2 linked regions of the Drosophila melanogaster genome follow. Changing the gene in region 1 together with any one later gene gives a genetic interaction. Each region holds a gene or a part of one and is shown on either strand. Other genes may lie near its edges. The genes, in order: sti and sqh.

Region 1 (8,132 bases):
GCCAAACTCGTCCACAAAGACGCCATATTCGGCAAAGCAGAGCAGATACTCTTGTCGTGAGATGCGCACCGCAGTTAGGGGCTGGCACTTGGCAGTGCTCTCCATTGACTTATCGGACAGATCCACAAACTCCTCAGCCGCATAGTTGTCCAAATCGATCTCGTAGAACTTATCCGAGCTAACAATGGCCGAGTGACGCGTAAAGAATATGGATGTGACCGGCGTGGCCGTGTCCAAGGCTCGAACTGGCTTAAACATGTGCAGCTTAAGGTCGTACTTCAAGATGACAATCCTAGTGGACGTGGCCGCAATAGCCACCGAATCCAATGCGTTCTCCGCCTCATCGGAGATCAGCACTAGTTTCCATTTCTCCGATGGCGTGCGATTGGCAAATGGCAGCTCAATGGCCGACGTTTCCAGCACAGGCTTGTGACACGAACTGGAGCTCTGACAGCGTGACTCCAGCTGGCGGTAGTCACATTGATATAGCTTCTCGCCAACTGTGCCCACCATTATAGCCTTAGCCAGGCGCTTGCAAATGGACATGCAGCTCACCGATTCGAGACCAGAAATGTGCACCAATCGCTGCGAGTCCAAGTGATACGCATACAGTCCCGTGTTACAGCCCAATAGGAGTATTTGCTGCTCGGCCACTTCAAAGGCGCAGTTCACTTCGATCTCCTTCCGTGCCTGATCTTCTGCACCATCCGAACTGTAGACCAGCGATCCAATGTACTCGCCACCGCTGGTTGTACCACCCGCAACATCTACGCTATCCAAAGTCAAGCTGGAGACAGATTGAATACTGCTAAGATCATCGGCTGACGGTGCAGTCGGCTTGGTGGATCCGCAATGGCTCTGAACATTGGAGCGACACTTGCGATGCGTAACATCTTTGCACTCCTTGCATTTCCAGAACGGCGAACCGGCAACGACGGCCTTTTCGCAAACTACACAGTTGACGGCATCCACCTTGGACTCCTGCAGGGCCAGTTCGAAACGGTGATGAGCCTGGTTCTCAATGGTTACTTTAGTCGGTTTCTCCGCCGTCGTCTTCAGCTCCACCTGGCTGGTGGTGCGCTTCAGGGGCTGCTGCTGCTTCTGTGGAGAACGTGGCAAGGCAGCAATGCTTACGGGTCTCTGTTTGGGTGCATCGGAGTCGCCATTAACAGCTGCAGATTTGCGTGGAGAGCGCAAGGTTGCAGTTCCTAAAGGAAATATACAATTAGATACAAACATCAAGCGAAATCTAAAGAAATCCCACCATTCAACTGAGCCAACTGCTCCTTCAGCAAGCTGTTCATCTTTTGTTCTCGCTTCAGTTCCTCCTTTAGAGCGCGATACAGAATGGAAGATTCCACGTCATTGGGTGACACGTTCTCCTTGTTTGTGTGGCTAGAACCGAAAAGTTTGTCCGCCAATGTCTTTTTCTTCTTGGCGGATAGGTCCTCAACTTTGAGCTAAAATATAAATACAAAAATGTTTTTAATCTCATTAACTATTCTCTTAAAAAGAATATATATAAACTAGCTATACCTGAAGGTAGTCAATCAGCTTTTTGTGCTGCGCAAGTGTGGCATTCGATTTAATGTCCCGCTGCACGTAGAACTGCTCCTTCTCGGCCAAAGTGTCCTGAAGGGAATCGATCTCTGCGTGCAAGTTGGCTTGCGCAGACTCCAAGCCCCTTATCTCCGCCTGAAGATTGCCAACCTCCTCCTTCTTGTGGAACAGCTCGCTGAGAATTCTAGCATTTTCCTCCTTCAAACTAACCATTTCGCGATTCGAATCCGCAGTTTGGGCTTCGTAATTGGCATTTTGCCCATCCAAAAGTTCAGCTCTCTCTTGGGTGGCAAACAGTGCGTTAGTCTGCTCCACCAACTGATCCTGCTGCGCCACCAGCTTCTTCTGCTGCTCCTTGAGATTGAGACGAAGTTCATCGATTTCCGATGCCAACACTTGAGCACGCTGCTCCGCCAGACGCTTTTCCGATTCCACCGTAGTTAGTTGCTTTCGTAGATCAGTTAATTGATCGTTGCGCTCTCTGAGTTTCTCATGAAGGGTATCAAGTTGAGATTTCTGGGATTTATTTCGTTCCTGCTCCGATTTTAGCATGGTCTCCACCTCAGTTAGCTGGCTGTCGGTAATGCTACAAGCGTACTTCAACCTCTGGAAGTTATCGGTGAGTTGTTTCAGCTCCTTCTGTAAGACCAAACAAGAGTCATTCGCTTTCCTGCTCTTTTCTCGCTCCTCCTGCAGTTCTCGAATGGTATTCTTCTGTTCCAAAGTTACACCATCAAATCGCGATTGGATTTGCCTGAGTTTCTGGCGCAATTCCGTCTCCTGTTGTTCTAATCTGTGCACATTGGCCAAGTGCTCGATTATCTCCGACTTGCACTTCATGCGCTCCTGCTCGGCCTTTTCCCATTGGCGGTGCTCCTTGAGGACATCCCTTTTGGCGGCCGCCAGTTCCTGCTTCAGCTCCTCGATGCGAGACTCCCGCTGGCGAGTTTCCTCCTGTGACGTCTTGAGCATTCTCTGCGCTTCATCGCTTGCGTTCTGCACCTTTTTAATCCGATCCTCTGTGAGTTCCATGCGACGCGCCAGTAACTTCTTCTCGGACAAAGCTTCCTCGAGCTGTTTCTCCACCTTCCAGAGCGATAGATTCGCTGTACGCGCTGCCTGACGTTCCACAATCATCTGCTCTCGCACTGCTGCCAATTTATCCTCCAGCTTCTCGTTTTGCCGCTCGAGCATATCACCAACGGTTTCACCTTCTTGCTTACGCGATGAGTGCGATTTCGTGGGTGAAAGACTCTGCTCGTTGAAGCGCTCCAGCATTTGCTCCAGTTTGGTAACCAGCGTCTGCAGTTGATCGGCGCGTCCCTTCTGATGGTTTTCACTCTCTTTGGCGGCTAACAAGTCGGCGCGAAGTTGATCCTCAATGGCATTCAGTTCGGTCAAAGATCCAGGCGCAGTTTCGTAGGGGGAAACCTGGGTGGCTAGTGAGGATTCAGCCAGCTGACAGCGACATTCGGCAAGCTAGTTTAAATTAATTCATAAAGTATATTTACAAATTACATATCTTTAGGTTTCTATATTCATCGATTCAATCGAAAGCTATATGCTTCATTAAAAATCATTAAGACTTTAAGTTTGACACAAAATAAAAACACAAACATTCACAGCCTGCTAAGATTTCTTTTTATATAATTTTTTTTTACTCAATATTGCAGTGATTGAATTAACCAATGCAGATGAATAACCACCTACCTGCAATTCCCTCTCAAGTCGATGACATTCGGCTCTAACTTCTTGAGTTTCATTTTCCTTCAGCTGCAGCTTCGTCTCCAGTTTGACCTTTTCCGCATGAAGCTCATTATTGGAGGCGATCTCCTCGTTCAGACGCCGCAGAATTTCTTCGATATTCCGCTCGGTAGCGTTCTTCGCTTCTTGGGTGGACTTGCTGGAGGATATGGACTCGTCCAGCTCGGTGCGTATTTCCTTTATCTCCATTGTCATGCGGCGGTTTGTATCCTGCGAGTCGCGAACCTTTTTCCGGAGATCTGTTAGCTTTTGCTCATACAATTCGGCCATTTGGCGCCTCTGCTCCTCATGGTTTGTCTCGGACTTGAGATTCTGCTCCTTGATCTGCTGCAGCATATCCTTGTAGTTTTGCAACTTCATGGACAAATGCTTGCACTCTTCGAACTTGGCATTGAACTCCAACTCACGGGCATCTAACTTTTGCAGCGTGGATGCCAGCTCTTGCTTTTTGTCCGCCAATTGTTTCTCATATCGTTGCTCCGAAGCGATCTTGGCTTCTTCGTACTTTTGTCGATTAAGGCGAAGGAGATCGGTGATAGTGGCTTCCTTCTTGGACCACATTTCCTCGTCTATTTTGGCCGAACTTTGGAGTGTCTTAATTTGCGTCTTGCAAGTGGTAAGCTCCATTGTTTTCTCCTTGATAATCTGTTGCAGCTTCTTAATTTCCATTTTAGCATCGGCTACCACCTGAGATTTGTTATCGGTCTTCCTCAGCGATTGCTGAGCCCGCAGAAGATCTTGTTTCAGCATGGAAATCTCGTTCTCTCTAGTCTTCAGTTTCTGCAGCAGTTCCTTTAGCTTCTCCTGAAGCTTTTCATCGGTGGTAGCGGAAATTGCCGACTTTTCCATGTGCACAAAACTGTACCCAATGAATGGCAGATCCTTGCCACTGAAATCATTCGATTTCATGTTAGTCGTAAGGGACTTTTTAGCAACTCCCTGTTCTCTGCGAGTCTTATGACGAATTCCGTCCTCGAAATTGGAGGTATCATCGTCAGACCTAACAGTTGGTATAATCGGTGGAACCTGCGAGCGAATGGAACCCCACGGAATTTCGCTAAAGAAGGGGTGATTCTTAATGCGCTCATAGGACAATCGCTTCGAAGGATTTGTGACCAGTGACTCAATAAGATTTCTATAGTTAACAGACACCTTCAAGTCGGCGGGAAAGCTGATGAGCTCTTTAAGGTGACTCTCCTCGCAATGGGAGAGAATCTTGGAGTATGTCTCGTGTACATTGTCCTCGTGAAAAGGTGTTGTCTCGCATATTAACTCATATCCTATAATGCCCATGGACCAATAATCGCAGCTGACCTACAAAATGAGTTCTTGTTTTAGCTATGAACTTTCCAAACCAAACTCTGCGATCGTACAATTCTACTCACATCGTGCATCGACTTGGACAGCTTGTAGGTGGATATGGTTTGCAGCAGCTCTGGAGCTATGTAATCCGGTGTTCCCACCGGCGACAAACTCAGCACATGGCCATCGCGATCCAAGGCAGCGGCATTACCGAAATCAGCCAGTTTAATATGGCCAAAACGATCAATCAGTATATTTTCAGGCTTTATATCCCGATGCACATAGCCCATCTCGTGCAATGTGTGCAGGGCCACTGTGAGCTCGGCCAGATAGAAACGAGCCAAGTCCTCATCGAAAGGGCCGTGGCGTGACATCAAGCTGAGAAGGTCTCCGCCGGGCATGTACTCCATGACCAGGTACAGATTGTCGTTATCCTAAGTGATAAGTTAATTCAAGTACTGAAATATGCGAAAATGTGGAAATAACAAACCTGAAAGGCATACTGCAGATTGATTAGCCATTCAGAGTTGCGAATGGACATGATATCGCGCTCCTCCTTGACTTGTGACGTCGTCACCACCGACTTTTTGATCTTCTTCATGGCGTATATGTCGTTGGTTTGCCGCTCCACCACCAGGTGAACGTTGCCAAAGTATCCTTGGCCAATAAGCGTCTTGATGAGGAAGTCATCTGCGTTGACCCTGAGTTTGCGGGTCTCCTCTATGATGGGACGAACTGGAGTAGGAAATTAGATAGTAATATAATGGGTAACTAGGCATGAGCTCTATTTTCAAGGAGGGAAACCGGAACATACAGGTAAATCTATAAGAGATTCTACTCCCAATAATTTTGTGGGCTTTAATAATGGAATATGATTAGCAAAAGTAGATTCTCTGACCCGAGGAAGTAAAAATGTGGCTTCTGAGTTCCATTTCTATAGAATGGTAGATACTCCATCCGAAAACCCTGCTGACCAATGCAGTTGACTCACATTTGTTGACAAACTCGGCGATGTTGCGATCGCGCTTCTTCAGCGTATCCTTGTCGCACTCGTTGTACAGCAGACAGAAGGCGTCCAGGAGTCCCTCGCGGCAGATGGCCTCGGCCACGGCGGCGCTAGTGGTGCTCACGGGTACAATGCTTCTCCTGGTGGAGGCGGGAATACCTGATCCGGAGGCGCTTCCAGCGGGCTTCGCACAGACGCCAGCTCCTTTGCCCAGAATCAGGTTGTTCAGACGCGCGGTGCGCACGCTAATCGGCTCCATCTTGGGTGGCATGATGGACTCACTTTTATTTGCAATTTTCTCACATAAATAATACAATTAGAAATCCGTAAAATGCCAGAGCATTTTTCTGCCGTTTCGCTTTGAAAAAAATGCGCCGAGGGAAGCCGAAGAGCCAGGGATGCGTGCTCACTTTCCAGAGTTGTATTTAGGGTTGCAAGTAGGGCTGCCCTGTGAAAGAGGATAAAATTTGAATTTTAATGCAAACAGAGAACGGATAAATAATGAAATAGTCTTATTTACTTTTGGCAACCTTTTGAAGCGTCCCCTTTTATATTTTGCACAGTTTTGCACATAAACAGTTATTATTATTATTTCGCTGCCGCCGCCGCTGCTATACAACCGCGCTTTCCAACACCGTCGAGGCTCTCGCTCGTATGCATCGTTCATTTTCGACGGGTAGGTTTTCGCAGACGGACGGAGCAAAGATTTGTGCATCGAAAATTGCAATTTTCACATTTGGAGCCGTGTGTGCAGCATCACAGACATTGGAAAAGCGCTTGTCGCACTTGTGCAAAAACACAGCTTGATAAAGCAAACGCGGCTAGAAGGCGATTGGCCGCAAATTCGCCCTGGAACTGGAACGCAATTGCGTGTGAAAAAAAGACGGAAAAAAAGTAAAAGAGCAGAGACTGAAACCGTCGAGAAATCGTTGTCGTCGCGCTCGCTATAATTGTTTGCTTTTGACAGAGAAATTCGTGTGCCTGTTGGCAGAAACATTTAATAATAGTTTGTATTTTCGGCGTGAGTGCGCAGTGAAGCATCGAAGTAGTTCAAGATGAGCGGGGGATTACCGGAGTTGGGCTCCAAAATCAGCCTCATTTCCAAGGCGGACATTCGATACGAGGGCCGCCTGTACACGGTGGATCCGCAGGAGTGCACCATTGCGCTCTCGAGTGGTAAGTATTTAATACGAAAATCGCCCACGTCGCCCATATATGTACATATACGGGATATACATATGTGGGTGCCGTAATCTGCGCCAAAAAAAAAGAAAAAAAAAATCGTGTAAAAAAACGGTTCATCGCAAAAGAAAATGGATTCTGTCCATTTCTCTTGTGTTGGTGGCTCTACTCTTTCTTTCCTTTTGGTTCGTTTCTTTTTGTTAGTTTTTACAGTAATTTCATACTCGTGGAGACGGTGAGTGCAATTGCCGCCACCGCTCTCTCCATTACCCATTTCGACAGCCGTCTCTCGCTCTCCCACTTATGCTTTTTGTTTGTCATGTTGGCTTTGGCCTGTTTTTGTCTTTGGTTGTTGTTGTACAGTGTTGCTTTTGCAATTTACTTGGCACACATACACCCGCGCACAAAGTAACGAGCACCAGCAAGGCCCCAATGCAATTTGTTTATTTGCAAATACAATTTCGATTTGGCGCCAGATAACGGGATCCAAGGGCTCCCGTTACGGATGTCAGTGCCCTGGAAGTCGAAAAGGAGGAACGGAGAGCGGAGAAATACCGGCAAAACATGCGTTCCCCAGTTGAGGTTAAATTGGAAGCGCGGCCTAACCTTAATGGGTTTACAAGTTTGCCGCAATCCAAGTAATTCGTCTTTTGAACAATTGCATTATATAATGCGGTGCATTCATTTTAAAACAATTGGAATATAAACTTGAAAGATGTGGGCTCGGAAAGTTCCACTTATTAGATGGAGCACTTTTAAAAACCGACTTAGAATACCGGTTAAGCAAAAAAGGTAGCTTATTTGCAATGGAAAAATTTAAAAATTTAAAAGTTTAGTTTTGTGAAAGATCTTTCTTAAAGCAATGGAATAAAAATGGCGGCTGGGATAAGAAAACTTTACGGAAAAAATGTTCACTATTGTACTCTTTATACGATTTAATATTATAACTCAATTCATTTTAACCCTCTTTTCTTTTTCAGTGCGATCCTTCGGTACAGAAGATCGGGACACCCAGTTCCAGATAGCGCCGCAATCGCAGATCTACGACTACATCCTATTCCGTGGCTCGGACATCAAGGACATTCGCGTTGTCAACAACCACACGCTGCCGCACCACAATGACCCGGCGATCATGCAGGCGCAGCTCCAGAACGGACCGCCCCAGATGCCGCAGCACTTCCCCATGCCCAGCGGGATGAGCGGTCCGCCGCAGCAGCAACAGGTGCCGTCGCAGCAACCGCCCCAAATGCCAAGCGGTGGAGGCAGTGGTGGTGCTGGTGGAGCAGGAGCTCCTGGCGGCGGCGGACCCGGCTACGGC
Region 2 (4,458 bases), on another chromosome or scaffold:
ACCCATCGCCACGTGCAGGAGTACACAGACCTTCTGGCGCTGCAAATGACCACCCGGATCGGCTCCGGCGTGGAATAGTACCCGAAGCACGGGAGCATCCTGCGATACACTGGAGCGAACCAAATGGGCGGATATGTCCAGGTGCATATTTGGCTGCTGGAGCTCCAGTAGAGTGGCATTCTGTGGGAGAGAAAGTGGTATGACAAGGCGTCCTTTTGTTGCTTGCCAGGATTTGGGGATAACTCACGTTCATATAATCGCCCGACTGGCTGTCCATTGTGTCCGGCACAATGTAGCGGGCTGGCACCGTTTGTTTCGTGGAAAACGGTCCATAGCTGGCGCGTATGGACACCGGCTGCGTGGTCTCGACCACAGTGAATCTGTCCAGAGATAACACGGAATCATAGGAGGATCGTTGCCGTAACGGCGGCACCGCCGAGGATGTCTGCACATTGGCGATCTCCGGCGTCACAGGTGGTTGGCGGGCGTGCTTCAGAAAGAAGCCGCTGTCCGGCGCCTCGAAGTGCACCTCCACGGAGTCTGGCGAGGATTCGGCATGGATTTGTTATGGGTTGGGAGTAGATGAAGGAGTCAATTAGTTGAATTTTGGTAATGGTAACATAGGGGTTGGGGATTTTCTTAAACCCGGAGGTCACCCACTCCTCCTTTATCCCCCTCCCACTGGCTTACTCCCTCCTCCCACTCCATCGCTTTTTTTGTACCACCCCCCTGGGTTTGGAAACTTTATTTGATACTTACATGCCAACGACAGCTGCAAAGCAATTATGAGGCAGTATCTCATCATCTTGTTCGTGTGCAGGAATCCAAAATATATCGAAATCCTGAAATCCTGTGCCCACCCACTCGTTAATTTGCTAATTAACTGTGCCCGCACTTTCGTTATTTTCACTGTTCTCTCGCTTGTGTGGCTTATTTGACCGTTATTCCGTTAATCGTGCCAAAAGTCAACCGTTAATTCGCGCTGGCTAGCACTTTTCGTCCTTTTTTCTCGCTCAGCAATCCGCAGCACATCCTTTATTGATTCTTTCCAGTGTGCCCACACACCCACACACCAACACACACTCACACGCTGCTCACACACACAGCCGTGGGCCACCTCACACACAGATACACATGCACATGCAGGTATAGACACATCTTCTCCTGCAAATCGCGCAGTTCAGTTCGAAATTAATTGGACCGCAACCGTGCCAATCGATTCGATTTTTCACTCGACTCGCTTTTCACGCGCTGGCAAGGATCTGCTGGGCTGGAAAATCCCTCGTTCGACGCCCTAATGCATGCCTCTTTTCATTCAGGTCTCTCAGAATTTTACACAAATATCGAACATTCCAAACACTTTGCAGTGTGTCCATACCGTATTGAAAACAATATCCTAAGATAGTGGTACTACCGTATTTGGAAGTGCTGTAATATGGGGCTGCCAGACTGTGCGCATACTCCTGAAACTCCAATCAGAACGCGGGCAATTCAAAAAGTTAATACCAAAAAAAAAAAAATACCATGTTTGACAGTGAAGAATAAAGAAAAATAAAATTAATTGGGATTGCTTAAGAAAATTTTTTGAGAAACTTTAGATTCTACAAGAAAAGAGCTTCTTAGGAACGAATATTTTAAAACAAGATCTGGTAGCACAACTGACAATAGGTTTTTAGGATTCTAATAGCCATGGTCCTAGTCTCAGTAGTATTCACATTTGTAATATAATTTTATATTTTATAATATAATTTATAGTCTTAATATTTATTTATTTTAGGAGCTCCAACAATTAGCACTTTTGCACAGTAATTTTTAGCATATTCTGCGGTATTTTCTGATAAATTGAAACCGCCTCTATGCTGGTCACACTTGGCCTTCTCGTCGAACCGAAATTATAAAAGACAAAAGTGCAGCTGGTCGAAAGTTGCATTAACGAAACTTCGATAGTATTAAACACTCGGCATTCGGCAGCTGTGAGTATGAATCAAATCAGGCGTAATCAAGCAATCATATTCGATAAAATAAACGAACTGAACTCCCAAAGGGCGCTGCCCTATGTGAGTGTGCGTGTGTGTTAGTGTATGCGTATGAGTCAGCGTCGGCAGCGCGCAAATGAAAACAATTGTTTTTGTGCTATAATTCCATTTAAATGTCCATTCGAAAGTGATAAATCAACGAAGTCGCAAACATTTGGCCCAACTTGAGTTCTCGAGTGAATTTGGGTGCTTCAACTGCGGTTTTTTTCTGGCCTTTTAAGGCTTTAATTGAAATGCGTGTGCCAGTGTGTGTGAGAATGTTTTCAATGAGCCAAATACGTGTGCGATGTTGTTTTTGTTAACCGCAGTTCAACAGCATTGATAAACTCGCATACACATGCACGCACTGGCGCAGAGCGAGAGCGAAACTCCCATACGTGTCATTTTCGTTTGCGCGAGTGACTCAGAGAGCTGCGCATGTGTGCGTGCATGAGTCGTACTCACAGTGGGCGCCCGATAAGGTGGACTTGTAACTGTAGCGGAAGCATGGAGCCATCGAACTGCTTTTGCATTATCCTTTCTGGCCTAAAACTGTATTAAAACTATTTATTTATAAATATAATTTGTAGTTCGCCCATTTTAGGCAATGGCCAAACCTTCATTCCTTAAAAAACCTTAAAGAGCAGCAATAAGATGTTCTTTCCGTTGTGATAAGCATATGCATGGTGTACTCACTGTAGCGAGCGTCCACTGTATGTTGACACAGTTTGTTTGGGGAGCAATGAAAATCGGTTTCAGCGGAATTCGCTGCAATATGTCTATATATAGCCATAAATACATACCCGGCCAACGAAATGCTAATGTGAGTCGGCGTTTTTCGATTTCAGATCCACGCCGCACACACATCACTCCAGCGCGAAGCACTAGTGCCACCAGCTCCATAGGCCGGCTCCATTTAGCTCCATTAACCGCATCAGAACCACCAATCCAACAGCAACCATGTCATCCCGTAAGACCGCCGGACGTCGCGCCACCACCAAGAAGCGCGCCCAACGCGCCACCTCCAATGTGTTCGCCATGTTCGATCAGGCGCAGATTGCCGAGTTCAAGGAGGCATTCAACATGATCGACCAGAACCGTGATGGCTTCGTCGAGAAGGAGGATCTGCACGACATGCTGGCCTCGCTGGGCAAGAACCCAACGGACGACTATCTCGATGGCATGATGAACGAGGCGCCCGGGCCCATCAACTTCACCATGTTCCTCACGCTCTTCGGCGAGCGGCTGCAGGGCACCGATCCCGAGGATGTGATCAAGAACGCCTTCGGCTGCTTCGACGAGGAGAATATGGGCGTCCTGCCCGAGGATCGCCTGAGGGAGCTGCTGACCACCATGGGTGATCGGTTCACAGACGAGGATGTATGTTGTCAAGTTGTTTACGATATCAAGTCGGAGTGTGCCCTTACAACTTCTTTTCCATTTACATTCACAGGTGGACGAGATGTATCGGGAGGCGCCCATCAAAAACGGTCTGTTCGACTACCTCGAATTCACGCGCATCCTTAAGCACGGTGCCAAGGACAAGGATGAGCAGTAAGATCGCCAGCAGTCGATTCACTAGCCAGCTGCCTCTCCAATCAGCCTGTCCAAACTATCCATCATGAGTTTCGTTTTGATAATTTAATATATACAAGTATAAATATTTTTTTTTTTTGGTTTCGCGCCTTCTGTTCTTTGATTCCTGATAATCCTGTACTTATCCGTGCATTTGAATTAAACAAAAAGTAGCCAACACCAGCGATTGTTATGTACGACAGTGTAGTGTGTGAGATGTTGGTGCCAGATAACACGATTTCCCGAAAAACTCCTTTCATAAGTATTAACTCATTGAATATACATATATATTACCTATATACAAATACATACTTATACAAGAATGTGGCAATAAACCTTTGTTTTTCTTACACTCGAGAACGTGCGCACGTCCAACCAAACAGATGTCTGCAGAAATCCTTCAGCCAAAAGCAACTGATCAAACAAGGGAAACTTTGGAATATGTACCCCCCATGGCTAATTAAGCATGATCACTAGCACGATGTGATAAGTGTATGTAGCTTCAAATGTGGCGGGAAATTGAAAGAGATTTCGGAAATTAGTCAAAATTTTCTTGGAATCTTCGACAAGCTGACTAATGAGTTCATGTCCAAAAGACTCGAACTTGCAAACTCATATCTTATCTCACATTATTTTTGATTCGAAGATATTTCAGCTTCTGCAAATATATGTTTTTCAAGAATTTATTTAAAAAAAAATCAATTAAATAGATGGCTTAATGTTCGAAACACTCAACGTTGTATATTACACACTTTTTGGACAACTATTAATTTAAAAGAAAACACGAACATTTGAAAATCTAGAAAGACACGGACACAAGAATTACAAACCAGACAAAGAGGCGTCTAAACACTAGGCAAATTCTATG

Evidence for each region.
Region 2: of sti (region 1) and sqh, changing one suppresses a phenotype caused by changing the other (phenotypic suppression), as found in Drosophila melanogaster (one study listed by BioGRID).

What each region holds. Positions count from the first base shown.
Region 1 is NT_037436.4:12,508,765-12,516,896, forward strand, and holds the start of sti (sticky), read right to left. Parts: upstream 6,052-8,132; 5' UTR 5,904-6,051; coding exon 5,618-5,903; intron 5,362-5,617; coding exon 5,117-5,361; intron 5,061-5,116; coding exon 4,698-5,060; intron 4,639-4,697; coding exon 3,271-4,638; intron 3,040-3,270; coding exon 1,537-3,039; intron 1,461-1,536; coding exon 1,265-1,460; intron 1,209-1,264; coding exon 1-1,208. Other genes in the region: tral (trailer hitch), read left to right, coding at 6,688-6,808, 7,795-8,132.
Region 2 is NC_004354.4:6,222,522-6,226,979, reverse strand, and holds sqh (spaghetti squash), read left to right. Parts: upstream 1-1,839; 5' UTR 1,840-1,973; exon of another isoform or gene 1,974-2,283; intron 2,284-2,459; exon of another isoform or gene 2,460-2,569; intron 2,570-2,822; exon of another isoform or gene 2,823-2,863; 5' UTR 2,864-2,975; coding exon 2,976-3,395; intron 3,396-3,468; coding exon 3,469-3,573; 3' UTR 3,574-3,919; downstream 3,920-4,458. Other genes in the region: dtn (detonator), read right to left, coding at 1-180, 248-540, 760-805. UniProt on the Drosophila melanogaster protein: Required for cytokinesis, could regulate contractile ring function.